Caenorhabditis elegans: one gene and its partner. The protein of the gene in region 2 purifies or fractionates together with the protein of the main gene of each other region. This does not show direct contact. Each region holds a gene or a part of one and is shown on either strand. Other genes may lie near its edges.

What was found.
Region 1: the proteins of F44B9.5 (region 2) and ndub-7 fractionate together in Caenorhabditis elegans (co-fractionation; one large-scale study listed by BioGRID). This does not show direct contact.

The regions. Positions count from the first base shown.
Region 1 is NC_003279.8:7,577,940-7,585,088, forward strand, and holds ndub-7 (NADH dehydrogenase [ubiquinone] 1 beta subcomplex subunit 7), read right to left. Parts: upstream 3,690-7,149; 5' UTR 3,685-3,689; coding exon 3,571-3,684; intron 3,489-3,570; coding exon 3,384-3,488; intron 3,279-3,383; coding exon 3,126-3,278; 3' UTR 3,005-3,125; downstream 1-3,004. Other genes in the region: D2030.2 (ATP-dependent Clp protease ATP-binding subunit clpX-like, mitochondrial), read left to right, coding at 1-216, 297-399; D2030.3 (Fanconi anemia group I protein), read right to left, coding at 680-1,033, 1,082-1,270, 1,319-1,588, 2,032-2,267, 2,335-2,749, 2,830-2,892; mce-1 (Methylmalonyl-CoA epimerase, mitochondrial), read left to right, coding at 4,182-4,244, 4,319-4,444, 4,788-5,087; D2030.12 (DUF4129 domain-containing protein), read left to right, coding at 6,065-6,173, 6,867-7,048, 7,093-7,149.
Region 2 is NC_003281.10:8,008,084-8,018,215, forward strand, and holds F44B9.5 (Lipid droplet-regulating VLDL assembly factor AUP1 homolog), read right to left. Parts: upstream 8,456-10,132; 5' UTR 8,455-8,455; coding exon 8,331-8,454; intron 8,264-8,330; coding exon 8,116-8,263; intron 7,561-8,115; coding exon 7,291-7,560; intron 6,950-7,290; coding exon 6,763-6,949; intron 6,719-6,762; coding exon 6,563-6,718; intron 6,514-6,562; coding exon 6,325-6,513; intron 5,905-6,324; coding exon 5,806-5,904; 3' UTR 5,670-5,805; downstream 1-5,669. Other genes in the region: cit-1.1 (Cyclin-T1.1), read right to left, coding at 1-44, 429-516, 616-706, 756-807, 858-923, 966-1,026, 1,155-1,274, 1,324-1,405 and 2 more; cit-1.2 (Cyclin-T1.2), read left to right, coding at 2,706-2,792, 3,106-3,230, 3,430-3,692, 3,768-3,888, 3,944-4,627, 4,711-4,938, 5,043-5,202; Protein lin-36, read right to left, coding at 9,039-9,146, 9,362-9,428, 9,477-9,934, 10,001-10,132.

The DNA.
Region 1 (7,149 bases), on a different chromosome or scaffold from region 2:
AGAGCCACAAAACTCCCTTCTTGCACAACTGAAATTGCAATTCGGAATTGACAACGTAGATCTCTCATTCTCTGCTGAAGCTCTCGAACAAGTCGCTCAACTGGCTCTCGACAGAAAGACGGGAGCACGTGCTCTTCGGTCAATTCTTGAAGCCGCTCTGTTAGAAGCGAAGTTCACCGTTCCCGGATCTGACATCGAATCTGTACATGTTAGCAGGTACGGCTAATTTCAAAAATCAGAAATCTAGAAAATAAATGAAAAACACAATGTTCTCATTAAATTTTTCTAATTTTCAGAGAAGCAATCCTTGGTGAGAAAGAGGTTGAATATTCACGACGTAAATCCCAAGTTGTTGAAGAAGAAGACGTTTCACCTATGAAGAAGTCGGCTGTCGCTTAGAGACTCATTTTGATTTCCATCTGATTTATTATTCTAATCATTTTTTATTCTATGGGTTTTCTTTTTTTTAAACGAATCCTATTCGTATCTGTACACTCTTTTCACACGAATCTCCACTGCGGTTTCGTCTGTTTTTTCTGTAGGCATTTTAGTTTGATTATTGTCTCCTATCATTTTTTTTCTCCTATGTACATATATAACTTTGAATAATATCGTCAGATTTTCATAACAGGCAACAACAAGAAAATAACAAACAAAAAACGATGGGAATGGGAAAACTTTAAGACATATCAAAAAGGTTCAGAATATCATCAACCGATGCTTCTCCTTCCAAAAGATTAGTTTTAACATCGTTAACCACTGACTTCTTCTTCTTTTTGGCCACAGTTGAAGTGGCTGTAGTACTGCTCTCACTATTTTTCTTTTTTCTGGATGAAGCTTCTGGAACCTCTTCTATTTTCTTCTCTACCACCACTGGAACAATCTCCTCTTCCTTATCTTCTGTTTCCATTTCTTCAAATTCTTGCTCCACTTCTTCCTTTTCCTTCAAATCTTCGGACGCGGCAGTTGGAGCTTGAATAGTATTTTCCTCTTTGAGAACAAGTGTTTTCTTGGCTTTCACATTTGCAAGATCCTTAACAAAAATCAATATTATAATTAACTTAAAATCTATTTCTCTTACCGTAGTTCTAGGGCGGGATGCAACATTGCAAAGAGCTCTTAATCTATGAGAATGCTCAGAAGTATTTCGAGTTCTTGATGAAATAACTCGAGCGACTTGCAATGGAGATGGAACATATTCATTGTTCAAAGTAAGGAATGCAGCAAGCAATTGAAGATAGATTGAACTATCCGGATGCATAATGGCAGACTGTAATTGTATTATTTAAATAATTTTTTTCAAAAACTCTATAATTACCTCACAAACTGCTTTTTGAACAGTGGCAAACACTTCTGGCTTAATGAGAGAAGCCGCCGATTCGATAATGCTGGAAAGTAGATTTCCCACGTGTTCTCCGTAACATTGCTCATGAATTGGATGCTTCAATGCAGTGAAGATTACATAGAAATGTTTGTAAAGTGTTGAAGTGACAGGTCCAAACGTTTTCGAAATGAATGCAAGAGTTTTGATTAAATCAACGTCGGGCGATTCAAGTTCAGAAATCAGAGTAGATACGATTCTGCCGATCTGTGAAAAATTAGATTTCATTAAAGAAAACATGTAATTCGAATTTATAAGAATTGAGTTATTCCATTAAACTTCCTTTACCTTTCATTTTTGACATTTCAAAATAAAACAAAATCTCCAAAAATATGGCCGGTCTCGAAACGACAAAGTTTTTAAAACACAAACGGGTGTGCGCCTTCAAGAGTACTGTAATTTCAAACTTTGGTTGCTGCGGAGTTTTCATAGTTTTTCTCACAATTTGTAGAATTGATGTTTTTAGTAGTTTCATTTCACAAAAAAAAACTTTGAATGAAAAAACTATGAAAAATCAGTAAAAATTTCGCATCAACGAAATATTGAAATTACAGTACTCTTAAAGGCGCACACCCATTTGTATTTAACAAAAAGGCGCGTCGAGGCCGGGTACTATTTTTTTTATCTGAAAATACATTTTTAAAGCTTACCATTGGAATAAGTGAATACTTCGTGTTTACACACATTGAACGGAGACATGCAAATGCAACAGATCGATTTTTCGGATTATTAATTCCCAATTCAATAACTTGAATTATATCTTTTCGTTCTACAAATAATCCCGGCTTTGAAGCGTATCCGAGTGAAAGTGCGAGAACTTCAAAAAGAAGAGAAGTCAGCGAATCTCGATGAGAAGACACTCCCAATGTTCTAAGCTGAAGGAGATCTGAAAATAAATTCAGATTTTACGTGCCAATAGAGTTGTACTTTTTTTTGTTGATAAAATTACTAACCATTTGATACATTTTTAATCTTGGTTGCACTCAACAAAACTTCAAGCGTATTCAACAACATTGTTAGATTCTGATTGCTAATTCTCAATCCAAACAGTTCAGCAGCCAATCCACGAATATTGGGATCACTTGTTTGTGCAGCAGCATCCATGCAATTAAGAATAATCTTGAATACAATTGGAGAATGAAGTTCTCCAGCTTGCGGATTTCTAACAAGAAGTTCTCGAGTATAAAGTGATCCACATAATTGAAAATGATCCGAGATATGAGCAAGTCGATTAGCCAATCGCGATTGAACTGCTCGTAGAGTTTGTGAAGAACATTTGATGATCATTCTCGACATAAGACAAAATCCTAGTTCTTGTTCTTTACGTGTTCGATTGGATCCAACGAGACGGAGACATTTTTCGAAAGTCTGAAACTTATTTGATGAATGGATCCATGACAGAATATGTAGGTTTTTAGATAATTCAAAAAAATTTGACAATTTCTAACCTGAATTTCGTCTTCTGGTTTTCCAACCATTGTTTCTTGGACGACTTTTCGGATTTCGGTCATCTCTGAAAGGTGTTTTTAAATTATAATATGGAAAACTAATCGGAATCATTATAGCATAGATATATTACAAATGATACGAACAACAAAAAAATTTTCAACATTAAAAAAAAGTGTACGACTCAATATTTATCCGAAATCGAGAGAAAAAGAAACGAAACAAAAGACACATAGTATTCACAAAAAACTATACTATTATCAAAAATCATTTAAAGAAATATCTCATCGACATCTATTCAAGCAGTGGCTTCTTTGCGAGCCTGTCTTTGAAGCAATCGTCGTTCACGTTCGAATTCTTTGATTCTCATGATATGATCATCATATTCACATTTATCCCAAGCTCCACGTTCTCCGTCGCACGCGTGTCCGGCAAATGGTGCATTTTGGGTCTGAATATAATAAATTATTTTTGCTGTTTTTGAGAAAATAATTTTAGATGTGTATTTTTATATAATTTTAAAAATATATCATTGTAACTAAAACAAAAATCTTACTTGGCATTTCATGAGTGAAATCAAGTGGTGAGCACAATAATCGCGTTGAGCTGGCTTCAACTTCCACTGCTCCATCTCTTCCCAAGTAGCCTTCATCTCGCGGACCTTGAATATTAAACTTTATTATATTGAATATTTATGAATTAAATGAACAGTTATTTAATGAACTTTTAAAAAAGTTGTTTACCTTTCTCGGTCGCTCGAATCCATACTGAGGATCGAAAGTTGGTGGTCTGTCGACACGTGGCGCGGTTTCTGGTGTACTGGCTCCTTCCAATGAGACGGACAGTTTAGTTCCCATCTTGGCTGAAAAAAAAGGAATTGGTACAAAATAAAGAAAGCATCAAAACTCTTCTGATATTTGAATCAACTCAAAATAAATAATTAGCATGCTTAGGGCAGCGAATGCTTTGCTGATAAGAAGTGAACAATTTATATTTTAATAATTTAACATATTTTTCCGGAAAATATTCTTCTAAAACGTTAAAAACAAAGTAAAGCTGAAAATTGGCACAAAAATTGCCCGAAATAAAATAAGATAAACAACAAGCACTTGTGTAATATCGGAGTGTCGTTGTAATCAAAGTGAGTGCGTGCAAAAAGCAAGTTTACAGCGGGTTCATTGACCGAATTTTCAATGTCAAAAACATTTTCTTATCTAAACTTTTGTTTGTTTCTGTTACTTTTCATTTTCTCACAGATGTTTCAATCATTTAAACGCTTATTACTTAGCATTTTTCGAGTTTTATAAATTTTATTAAAGTACAGTAACCATGTTTATAGATTCTTCTTTTGAAAATGGCATCCTTCCGTTCTACACTCGCCCTTGTCAATTCTGCTAAGCTTTCGCTGTCCACAAGAGTAGGTTTTTCTATTTTTTCTGATGAAAACTATTAGATAATCGCTTTTTTACTTTAAAAATTTTGACTTTTCAGACCATGGCTTCCCATCCATTGGCAGGACTTCTCGGAAAGTTGAACCACGTCGCCATTGCCACACCAGATCTCAAGAAATCATCGGAATTCTACAAGGGCCTCGGAGCAAAAGTTAGCGAGGCTGTGGTTAGTCTTTAATTTTTGTTTCTTCCTAATGTCAATAAAAATTTAGAGCAAAAATATGTAGAAAATATTTTTGTTAAATTCTTTGTAGCATAAATCAAAATAAAAATTGAATAGCCTAAAATTTTGAAATAGCATAACAAAAAACGAAAAATTTTGGAAAAACCCCTACAACTGAAAAATGAAATAAAATGCGAATGAAGCGAATTTTGTGTACTACAGTAAACTTACTTGAAAAATATTTATTTAATTACAAGTTTTTTCATAAAAATGATAAAAATCCGCAAATAAAAAATAAAATGTCTCATCTAGTTTATATTAAAATTTTTGAATTGAATAATTACAGCCACAACCAGAACATGGAGTCTACACTGTCTTCGTTGAGCTTCCAAACTCAAAAATCGAGCTTCTTCATCCATTCGGCGAGAAATCTCCAATTCAAGCTTTTTTGAATAAGAATAAGGACGGTGGAATGCATCATATTTGTATTGAAGTTCGTGATATTCATGAAGCTGTTTCTGCTGTTAAAACAAAAGGAATTCGTACTTTGGGTGAGAAACCAAAAATTGGAGCTCATGGAAAAGAAGTAATGTTCTTGCATCCAAAGGATTGTGGAGGTGTACTTATTGAACTCGAGCAGGAATAATTTGATTCTTTGTTCCCAAAATCTAGCAATCATATTATCTGTTTGACAAAGTTTTGATCTTCACTTTTTTGTGAGAAACTTCACAAATTTTAAATTTCGCAAAAGTTCTCTCAAAATTTTTTATTGGCAGCCTATAACTTTTGAAAAATCGATAATATGATATAAATTACAAAAAAAAAAACTATAAACCTTTCTTTTAGCACCCAGTATTTTGCATAGAGATTAATTTTTGATACGTTTTAATCTGTTCACATGTTTTATTGTTTCTTGTGCCATAATAATTGCCTACAACTTCAATAAATTGTTTCATTAAATTTTCAAAATATAAATTCGTTTACATGTTTTCAAAAATATAATTTGAATTTTAAAGCGAAAAACTACGAAAAAACATATCAGAAAAGAATGTAAAATTTATGGGTAATATGAAAAAAACCTATTTTCAGAAAAGTTACAGTGGATTAGGATTTGGAAAAAAAAGAAGAAAATCAAAACTGTATGAACTACACTCTTAGAAATTTCAGACTTAAGCGAAGAATGTCAATAATCAGAAATCAAAAACAAAATTACATCTATGACATAATCAGTATAAGATGGTCCCTGAGCCGTCAATCCTGAAATTCTAGTGGATATACTACGCACCTATTTGAAAGAGGGAAATTCTTTTTTAGAAAAATATTTTTCCAAATAAGACGAAAAGAATTTCAATCCAAAGATGTCCAAAGTGTTTGCGAAAAAGCTCGGTAAACATCGTTTCACAGTTTTATTCAGTTATTCAACATCGTTCAGTCTCTTTTCCTCTCCCTCGTTTCCAATTAGAAAACGACCTTTTTCGGTTCTTCAATCGATGCGCGCGAATTGTTCGTATACCTTCGATCACCACCACAAGTTGAAAACAAGTTGTTGTCGTCAATTCTGGTGATTCATCATCATCCTCTGCCAAACATATTCCTCATTTCAACAATTTAAAAGATTATCTAATGTTGAACAATCTTGGTACTCGATTATTCAAATCAGTTACTGATAAAGCTGGCGATCTTGGAGATAAATTTGAAGAAGAATTCACACGACTTTCATTTAATATCACAAGTTAGTTCAAAATATAAACGAACAGGAGATCGTAGATCAATGTTCTTTTCTAAATCTGGTTTGAATATAATGCATGGAAAAGAACGTTCGAAATTGAGTGATCTCGTCGAAAGTTTTGGATTTTTCAATGTTTCTGATAATCGAAAATATCGTAAATTGAAAATGACATGCACAGAAAAAACTAGGAAACTCTAGAACAAAAATGACGAATTTGATGATTTAAAACAATTTTATATTTTCAAAAGAAACTTAATTTTAATCATAAAAATTAACATTATAATGAGTTAAAAACAACCGAAAAATCGATACTCCTGTTCATGATGACGTCATTTTAAATTGATTACTACAATTGTGTAGACCTTTAAAAATGTGATTTTTCGCCATTTCTACAAGAAATTCCTTACGCACATGGGCCACAATGACCACGTGTTACTGTAACTCGTGCCATTTTATGGAGCATTTATTTGTATTATTATTTACAAATCAAATTAAGAATTGGTGCAAACATTCTTCAAACAAGAATATTACGTATGCAATAGCGTTGAATCGAGACAAGTTACAGTAACCCATTGCGAGCGTGGCGAGACCAATGTGCTTGAGATGAATTCTCATTTTTAGGCGCCTACCTAATATAAGATTTATTTAAAGTCATAACTTTTATCATTTACTCATGAAATTTCCGAAAAATTTCAGCCGAAGTCGACTCAATTGTAACAGAAGCCATCTCACTATCATCATATATTAAAGTTGTTCTTGTTATATTATCAATTTTACTTATACTTCTCATCATTCGGCTCAGTGCATTTGGAATACGATGTCTTGTATTCAAGGCTCGTGATTGGATTCACTCAATTGAAAATAAACCTTCACCTCAGGTTAGACCATGTTTGAAGACGATAAAATCAACGTTGTGCTTCAGGTAATTCTCTTGATGCCAACTGAAGATGGTAAATACAGAAAGAGTTCAAAAGTTTAT
Region 2 (10,132 bases):
TTGACAGGAATTCCGATATGTTACAAGGAAATCTACTTCCATTTCTGAAAAAAAAACCATTTTTCATAAATATTTTAATAACATGTTGTCTTGCTTAAATAGGGATTTCGCTTTAAAAAAAACCAAAAATCGAACTTTTAAAACTGCTCCTGAGTACGCTCTAAATGATTTTTTTTTTAAATTTAAGCCTATTCTGGCAATTTCAAGCAAAATTCACGATACTCCACCGTAAATTCTATTTTTTTTAACGAAACTTTATACTTAAAAAAAAACTTTAAAATGTATTTTATTTCAAAAACATTCAGGATTTATTTTTACAGCTCAAAAACCTTCTCACTAAAAAATTGATTAAATTTCGAGCATCCATAAATCAAAATTTGATGCACTTTAAATGTCGTTTTTTTTTGTTAAATTCGAATTTTACGAACCTCTCAGCTTCTCGTTCGTCATTGTTTCGTCAAATTTCGCATACCACGGTGAATCTTCATTGATGAAATCGGCAAATAATCGCTCTATCTGAAATTTAGATTAATTGTTAATGATTATTTTACTTTTCAAAAATTTTTGGAAATCTTTCTCTAAGCAATTTTACTACCATTTTTTTCTAAATCTCACCCGGACATTGGCATAGGCTGCCATTAAATGAATAATTACAATAGACATTGACGCTGCAGAATATCGAAGTGACCAGTCTGTTACAGCTATTCTGAAATTTAAAAATTATTACATTTGAATTTATGATTTTGAAAACATACACGTCTGTGGCAAAATAGTAGGCGCAAGATGTCAAAGGTCGATAATGCTCTTCTGAAAATAATGTTCAGTTATTTGTTTTCTTTTCAAAATTAACAATTTACTTTTATCAACTTTTTTCATGATATCCAGAACATAAATATGAGGAAGATGAACGTTGAGATCGAATGCTGAAATTTTTATATTTAAAAGTAATCTGATAAAGTTCTTACCGATTGTCTGTAGAATCATGCTCTCCAGAAGAACAATAATTTGGGCTGCTTCATTCCTAGCCTGAAAAATCACGAAATCGGGTTTCTAAAGTTTGACCCGTGAAATTTGTATTGCAATTGTGCTTTCTAGTGTTTTTAGAAATACAAATAGGGGAAAAAATCTTTAAAAACCTTAATTTCTATACTCACAGTTTCCGTCGTCAATTGTTTTCTATCCTTTCGCTCCCGCCATACACTGATCACATGTGATAATTTTCTTGGACACTCCTGACTTTTACCCGCTAAAAATACACAAGCAGCACCTACGTCCTGAAATGGATTTTTAAAAATTTTTTCAATTTACGGATAAAGGTCTTACTCTATAATCATACTTTTTGAAGCTATGCAAATAATAAAAGCGATGCATATGTGTATGTGCAACGCAAAGACCCGTGTGACCGCTGAAAAAGCATTTTCAAGAACATTTTTTGATAAAGTTTTCGTTGTAAAAGTTACATTTTCATTTTTGGATCTTTAACATTGTTCAATCCATCTATCATTTCTTGGATGAACGCGGCGGCCATTTGTCGGGAGGCTAGTTCTTCTTCTCTGCTCATTCCTTCTTGAATGCTCGCTGTCTTTTTCATCTTAAAAATTCAAAATATTAATTATTGAGTTTTAATTCTAATTTTCGCACCTCCTCTTTGGTGAAGAGCCATTTGGTTGGCGCGGTCCGATGTGCTGGGGAAGCCGCGCCTCGACTCGACACCGACATCGCATTTGAGTTTAATTCTCTAAAAATCTGAATAAATTTCCAGAGTTCCCCAAAAAATTACACATTATTTGATTTTTCACTGTCATAAAATAAAAAATTCCGGTGAAAAGCTTCACAAAAATCCAGTTTTAATGTGAAACCTGGACGACACAAGCGCGCTCAAGCGGACGCGCTGCGTGTCGCGTCGCGGCAGGCAAAGCTTTTTTTCTGAGTCACCTACCCATTTTCAGCCGATTTTCAGTTAAATTTTATCGATTTTCTGTATTTTTCAAGCGTAAGTGTTGCATTATCACGTGCTTTTCAGCTCACATGTATTTTTGACATTGAACATTGAGTGAAAATCCTTTTTTGCATCACTAACACCATTTTTCCTTGTTTTCTGAAAAACACTGTTCATTTTTCGATTTCGCCGAAAAACTCTAACGTTTTTGTGATTTTTTAAGTAATTTAACTTATTTTGAACCAGAAAATCATAGGTTTGCCAAGATTTGCAACGGGTCCCGGGAGAAAATTACGTTTTTCTAGAGTGCTATTGCTAATTTTTATATTCTCGGATTTTCAATTTCTCAATAGCACAATTTGGATGTTCGTGTTTTATATGCGCTAATCAGTGGATCGATCTGTATTCGTGCAAATTCAGCTAGGTATTATCGAATAAAACCGTTCCAGAATTATGAAATATTTCGAAATTTAAGTTTATTCTGCTCATGTGATAGTTGTTTTCTAGTTTCCTTTATGTCTTGACGATTGTTCGGTATCCTGACCGGATATTGCCAGGAGATAATTCTGTAAATGGCCACTACGAATTTTTGTCTTTCCTAGGTAATATCGATTTTTGGACGCTGTCCCGTCGCTTATTCCTCCTTCTCCTCCCTCAGCAATTCCATTTCATTCATCGATTATTTGTATCTATTTATTGTTTTTATCGTGTTTCGTCGTGAACATTTGATATTCTTTTTTATATATTTTTTTCAGCATTGATCAGTATGTCGAATTCGAACAAATTGATCGCAGAGAAGAATGGGTCCAGATATGGCAGAATGATTCATCCTTGGCTCCGAAAAAAGCAAGATGTATGTTTTCTTTTTATTTTTCCAATTTATTGGTAAAAAATTTCCCAATTATCCAGAAAAAGTAAATTTTTGGTGGTTTTTCGTAAAATAATTTTCCGGGTCCTTGTGCTCGTACATAAAAACTCTAACATATATTTTCATCGAATTGTATTTAGTACATGCTGACATTAGAATTTTAGGAGATTCCACCAATCGGGGAACATTTGAAAACGAGCAACACTAAAAAAAATTCACTGATGGTTGTTCAAAATTTTCCAGCATTATTGGGACCTAATCGATAATACCGTTCAGTGTTCAAATGTTTAATTTTTAGATGTTGGCGGACACTCCAAGTCGACGAGAAGGAATGACATACGAGGAGGAGCTGTCAAAACGACAACAAGGAGGAGTCTTCATCTTTGACATTGCCATGCAATTGACACATGGCAAAGGAGAGCAGTGAGTGCAGTGATAGGATAAAGATTTAGAATCGAGTGAATTTCAAGTGAGGCGAATTGTAAAATTTAGGATTTAGATGGGTTCATATAGTTTTACAATTCATAAAAACGCCATCTCTTGTGATCATTTCTTTCGCTTCCTAATCTTTTCGAGACAATGTCTTGATTCTCTCCTCATCGAGCACTGCGATATATTCCAGCGGTCTGAGTGGAGTGGCGGCAACTCTGTTTAACCGATTCTTCAACGTTCACTCGCTCAAACGGTGTGATTTCCGAGACGTGGCGGCAGCATGTGTCTTTTTGGCAGGAAAGAACGAAGATGCACCCAAGAAGCTGAAATATGTGGTTACACAACTGTGGCAGTTCAAATATCCACACAATAAGCAGTTTCAATCAGAGCAACACTTCTTAGATCAGTGTAATGTCGTCACGTTAATAGAGGATGTACTTCTCAAAACCATTTGTAAGTTCTTTATCAATATCCTTCCGAACTGACTTTTCTATTAAAAAATAGTATTTTTTCATTTTGTATTTTCAGCCTTCGATATCAATGTAGATCTACCTCATCAGTATGTTCTAAAATTAATGCGCGATGTCGAGAAAGGTAGAAATGTATACAAGGATATGGTGAAAACTGCATATTACATGGCCACTGATGTGTAAGTTTTCTTTAATTGACTTGAGCCAACTATTACAACTAATATAATTTTTCAGATTAATAATCACCGACTGGAGTGTGCGATACTCATGTGCTTCAATAGCAACTGCTTGCGTAAACATAGCTGCCTTCTTTCATAACATCAACATGGACGATATCGTTCCATTTGAGTTATCTGATAGGTGGTACCGACTAGAAGATCAGTCAATGACTCGTGAAGAAGTTGAGGCCATGACTAAGGAATTCCTAGATATCTTCAGCCGAAATCCACAATTCCACATTGGGTCTCTTAAAAAGATTGATCCACTCGGAAAGGTTAAAATTGTCGGAATGCCGCCACAAGTCTCATCTACAGTAACACCTTCTGGATCGTCGTCTAATCTCAAGAAAATCGATTTGGAGTCATATAAAGGCCGACCGAAGCCACTTTCCAATTCTTCTGATTCGCCTTCAACGCGACCGAGTTTCCTGCCAGATGTAAAGAATCAGAAGGTAGTCGAGCAAGAGTTGATGGAACAAAGGATGAAAGAAGCTGCTCAGCAGAAAATTCATCGTAACGGACACCGTCCCAGCAGCAGTTCTCATCCTCTTCACCACCATTCTACGTCTTCATCAGCTTCAAACAATAGCAATCATCAGAATAGGTCCTCATCCGGTCTATCGGCACACCAACATCAGAAGCCATACAACGAAGATTCTCGATCAGCGAAAAGGTCAATGATGTACGAAGAGACGAATAGGTACGCTTGATAATGTTTTCCCTCCATGAACATACCTCAACAGATCTGAAAAGTCTAAAATGTATAATACTAAACTTTTTCAGTTCGAAAAAACCAAGGATCGATTACAAGATGAGTTTCGTTGCTTCGTCATCAACAACCATAGCTACTATGCACAATGATCATTTTTCGCAAACGACGCACCAGCAAAACATTTCAACATATGCTCGAGGAGTAAACGAAATGATGTTAAATCAAGTCGCTCCGCCTCCTCTCATGTCGGTATCTGCCCAACCTTCCACATATCAAAAAATGTGTATGGAGTATCAACGGTAAGTTAAATTAAAAGCAACACTTATCAGTTTTAACAAGTTAATTGAAAGACGACTTGGAGTTAGCTTGGAAAATGATTAATATAATCTTTCCTCAGTTGCAGAAATCCGGCCGATTCTCGACATACGATGTCATCAACGCAACAAATATCACCTCCTGATGAGCCTTCCCCACCTGTATCACAGATACTACTGCCGCCACCTCCACCGCCGCCAATCTTGCCACCCCGGCTGGATGAGATGGAGGAAGGGGAGCTCGTTTAAGAGCTTCCCTCACTGTTATTTCCGTTTCTTCTACTTTGCTCTTTATTTGGGTTCAATTCCTGATGTACAGTAGGTTTTCTTTCCGCATTTTTATTCAATGTTTCTTTTTTCCTCTTCATTTTTTTTCCTTTTTCCTTCTCTTGTCCTTCCTCGTTCTCACCGGTTTCCACTCTTGTTGTCGACTTTTAGATACTATTCTCACCTTTTTTTCTTTCTTTTCATATTTCTATCTTATCAAATAATGATCTCGATCCTCTCGTTTCGTTTTTTATCAGTTTCACTGTCTTCCTTATTTTTCATTTGATTTGTTTCAACGGTATTATTTTCCTTTTTTGGCAACTAAATCTACGGGATAAACTAAAAAAATACAAAAAAAGTCTTTATCTATCTTGACTCTTCCCGCTTTTCGATGTTTCAGACTTCGTTTCCTTATATATATATATATACTTGTAAACTCTACTTTGTATAATAATAAACGTTTTTTTTTCATTAATAGACAAAGCATATGCAATAAATTAATCGAACAGGCAAAGGAAATGACAAGGCATGATGACTAAAAGGTTTTAAAATCCAAAGAAAAATCGAATAATCTAATTTGAAAATTTAAGAATCGCGGTTCATGTATTTTTGGCGATTAACTTCGATCATCTGCCATTTTCGATTGTCGAATACTCCACGCCACGTACCAGCGTCCAATGTAACCTGAAAATTGTTATTTAGATATTCTTCATATTTAATGTCAAAACTACGATACCTGGGTTCGACACAACAGTTTTTGCTAAATACAAAACGGATGTGCGCCTTTAGAGAGTACTGTAGTTTCAACCTTTTGGTAGCTGAGGTATTTTCATCGATTTGTCATATTTACTCTCACGATTTATTAAAATTTATGTTTTTTATTGTTTTAATTTAGTTTTTCCAATAAATGAATGTATTTGTGTCGAACAACTGAAAATCGATGAAAATTCTGTCAGCTACGAAAGTTTTAAATTACAGTTCTCTTTAAAGACACACGGCGGTTTGTATTTTACAAAAAATTGTCGTGTTGAGACCGGGTACAGTAGTCTTAGGCTTAAAAATCTCAGTATTTCTGGGCAATTCATCGAATTTGTAGTTCCTAACCTTTCCAGTTTGACCATCCGATGCTGATGATGAAATTTTACCAGCTTTCAAATTATTAACAGTTGTAGTTTGACTACGAGTTTTCTCCAAATCACGTCGAATTGCAGATAAATGGAATGATGGAAATGATTGTTTGATTCTCATTGCACATTCGTCCATTTGACGAGGATCCGCAAGTCTAGGTGAAGTCTTGAAAATTTTCATTTTTTAAAGAAAACAAATTATTGGAAACAAATACCTTCTCTCTAACGACAACTTTTTTCGCACGTTCTCTATCTGTTCTAAGCCGTTTTGCTGCTTCTGTTGCGTCCGAAATTCCAAACTTTGACACTGCAATCTTCAAATTTCCAGCCAACGTTTCGGCAACTCGGGCGGTGAATTCTTCGAGTGATTCCTAGAAATAATTGTTTTTATTTGGAAATTCCAATTTTTCTTTACATTCTCTCGTCTTTCCATTTTCGGAAGATATTCGACAGTGATAACAGTAAACGGAAGTGCAAAGAAATAGAAAAGATCAGTCCACCATGAAGAACCCAATACTGAAACTGAAACTTTCCAAGGATACGGACGCCACACACGCACTGAGACGGGTTGAACTACTGAAGACACCTCGAAACACCAAGTACTGAAAATTTAGTAGATTTGGGTTCGAGATTCATGATTTTTGCGCCAAAACTACGGTACCCGGTCTTGACATGACAATTCTTTATCCGACAAAAAGTGTGCGCCTTTAAAGAGTACTGTAATTTAAAATCCTAATTTATGCTGAATTTTCATCGATTTTGCATAGTTTTTCATTAAAAATGTGAATTTTATATTTTATGAAAAAAACTATGAAAAATTGATGAAAATGCGTAAAAAGATTTTTAGATTTTTTTTCACAAATTTGTAGTGACAAACCATATTTTTAGCTGAAAAATCTTGAAATCGAAATCACAAAATATTTGGAAAGTTCAAATGACATACTTAAACTTGATCAATGCCTTTTCTCCACTAGTAATAATTCCTTCTGGAAATGCGAGAAGTGGCATTTGTTCTCTGGTGAGTAGTTGTTTGGCTCTACTGACAAGTTGATCTCTTCCACGTGTTGCTCCCAAATCTACATATCCAAAACACCATCTAATAATCGATGGAATATCCCAAACAGATGGAAGAAGGCATGGAGTAAGAATATCAACTGCTAAATGATCAAGAATTGATACATGATTGGCGCACAAAACTCGAGCTGATTCATCTCTGAAAATCTTTTTTTTTTAATACTAAGAAGTTGTGAATATCTCGGCAAGCAAAAAACATTTTAAGGAATAGTTAGTGACCTTTTTTTTTTAATTTTTTTTAGATACACTAAAAATTACCGAATTTCATTTTGCAAAAAAAGTACAGCACCCGGGTCTTGAAAAACTTTTTTTTTGTAAAATATAAATGGATATATGGAACTTTTGTTGCTGCGGAATTTTTGAAATCAATTTTTCAAAGTTTTTTCGTTAAAATAAATTTTTAAAACTAAAATAACACTTAAAACACATTGATTTTAACAAAAATCGTAAGAAAAACTATGAAAAATCAATGAATCCACAGTAACGAAATTTTAAAGCTACCGTACTCTTTAAAGGCGCACATGTTTTTGTATTTAACAAAAAAATTGTCATTTCGAGACCAGGTACCTCACTTTTGGGACAGAAGTCGCAAAAAAATTTGCGCCTGGGCAATACGGCAAGCTTCCAATTTTTCAGTAACTTGTTTCTATTTTTTTGGAGATATCAAATATTTTTCAAAAAAAAAATCACAAACCTGTGACCAGATTTTTCAACGACAATTCCGAGAATTGAGCACATAATTCGAAGAGTGTGCATTCTCAAAGCAGCAGATTTTCTGAGTAGACATGCAACAATAAATGTGTGGAAACCGAGGAAAACACGAATTAAAAGAATAATTAAACCTGAAATTTTGATTTTTTAAAACTTTTACTTTTTGGAATGTGTCAAAAAATTTGAAAAAAATCTCACCAACTGGAGCATAAATAATCGAAAATATTTTAGCAATCGTATCTTCATTTCGTTTTTGATGGAATAAATCTTCGATACGAAGATCTTCTGTATTTCCAGAAGACGATGCTTCTGGTGATGCCATTCTAAATTTTAGGATTTTTTTAAATTTTTCATGGTTTTTTCAAAATATAATGTTATGGATAATCAGGTAGCCTATAGAAAAAATAATCTGAAAACTCTTTTCAAAAACCTACCAAGCAAAATCATTTATTTATTGACTTTTAGTCATATTTGGCACACAAACGCACATATCTTTCAAACTTGAATGTAATTGAAAACTAGGGAAACGTTTAAATAGACTTTGGCTCATTTTTTGTGAATAATTCAGATTAATTTATGATAGAAAAAGTGTGGTTTTTGGGGAGGGGGCGGGGGCTTATGGAAAGTAAAACAAACTATTAATTTTGGAAAGTAAATTATAGGGGGGAGGGGGGGTAAAAAATGGGAAAAAAGTAAATGTGAAAATCCTAAAAATCTAGACGAAAATCTATCCTAGTCGGAGTTTTTATCAGATTTCAAGAATTTCGAATGAAAGTAAAATGGGATAACTTCTGTGGATATAAAACAGAGATAGTTCACATGAAAGAAATGTGGGGCGATCCTCGAAAGGACAATTGACTTTTGAATCTTGAATTTTGAGGCACTTTCTTTGATAATTAAAAATAATTATTGTTGAGAATCCGATGATCCTTGTCCTGGAAATTGTTCTTGCTGCTGTTGTTGTTGTTGTTGTTGTTGTTGAAGTTCACGCCATTTTGGATCTTTTTTGGTGAGCTGAAAATCATAAGAATGAAACAAACTGATTGATAACGCCAAATAGCGGAGAAAACATGTTTTTAAAATAAATTGTGTTGTGATCAGTGATTTTTGATGTTTCAATCGGAATTTTTTCAAAGCAAATGGTTTCAAATTGAGAACAACATAAATAAAATCTTTTAAAAAACGAAAATTGTTACTAAAATTCAGAATTGAAACTAATAAAAACATACCACTTGTGCTCCATCGTTAGAGTAGAAAATTTGATAATCTTCAGTCCTTTCGCCAAACAGACGAGCTCTGCAAAAAATTAAACGATTTATCAAAGTAGACCTCCCATGGGCTCACCTGGCTCTCGCAGCTTCAATTTGCCGGATGCAATGACGGGAAAGTCTCATGTCAGCGCGCATTTTCGTCACGGTGCGACATTTGATAGCGTCTTCCATTGCTCTGTAGTAATGAGCATCTTTCATCATTTCTTTTGAGATTTCTTCCATATCTTGATCTTTAACTGTTCCACTTGAACCATCCATCTCAAGAGCCTCTGCCAGCGTAAGCATCGGTTGCCTCTCGGAAGATGTTGAAGAAGTGGCAACATCTTCAGACGATGAGTTTCCCATAGAATCAATGACTTCTTCGACCATTTCAACTTCCATATCCGTTGCTGGAATCAGATACTCATCAGAAACAACCACCGGAGAAGATGCTGAGAAGTTTGGCGATGACTCGTGATGGGAGAGTGTTGGTCGTGGAGTTGATGTTTTTTTTCGTGGTGAAAGGATCAGTGGTCTTCGGGAGAGCACACTCTGAAGCAATAAATTAGAAAAAATATCAAAGTCTCCTAATAAATAATTCTAATATATTAAACTTACCGGTCTCTTAGCAGGCCCTTTTTCTTGTGCAACAGCTCCCATAACTCTTTGAGAAAAGATCCCGCCAGGAGAGGATGAAGTTGGTGGTCTTGATATGACTCCAGAAGATAATGAACGTCCTCCACCAAGTGA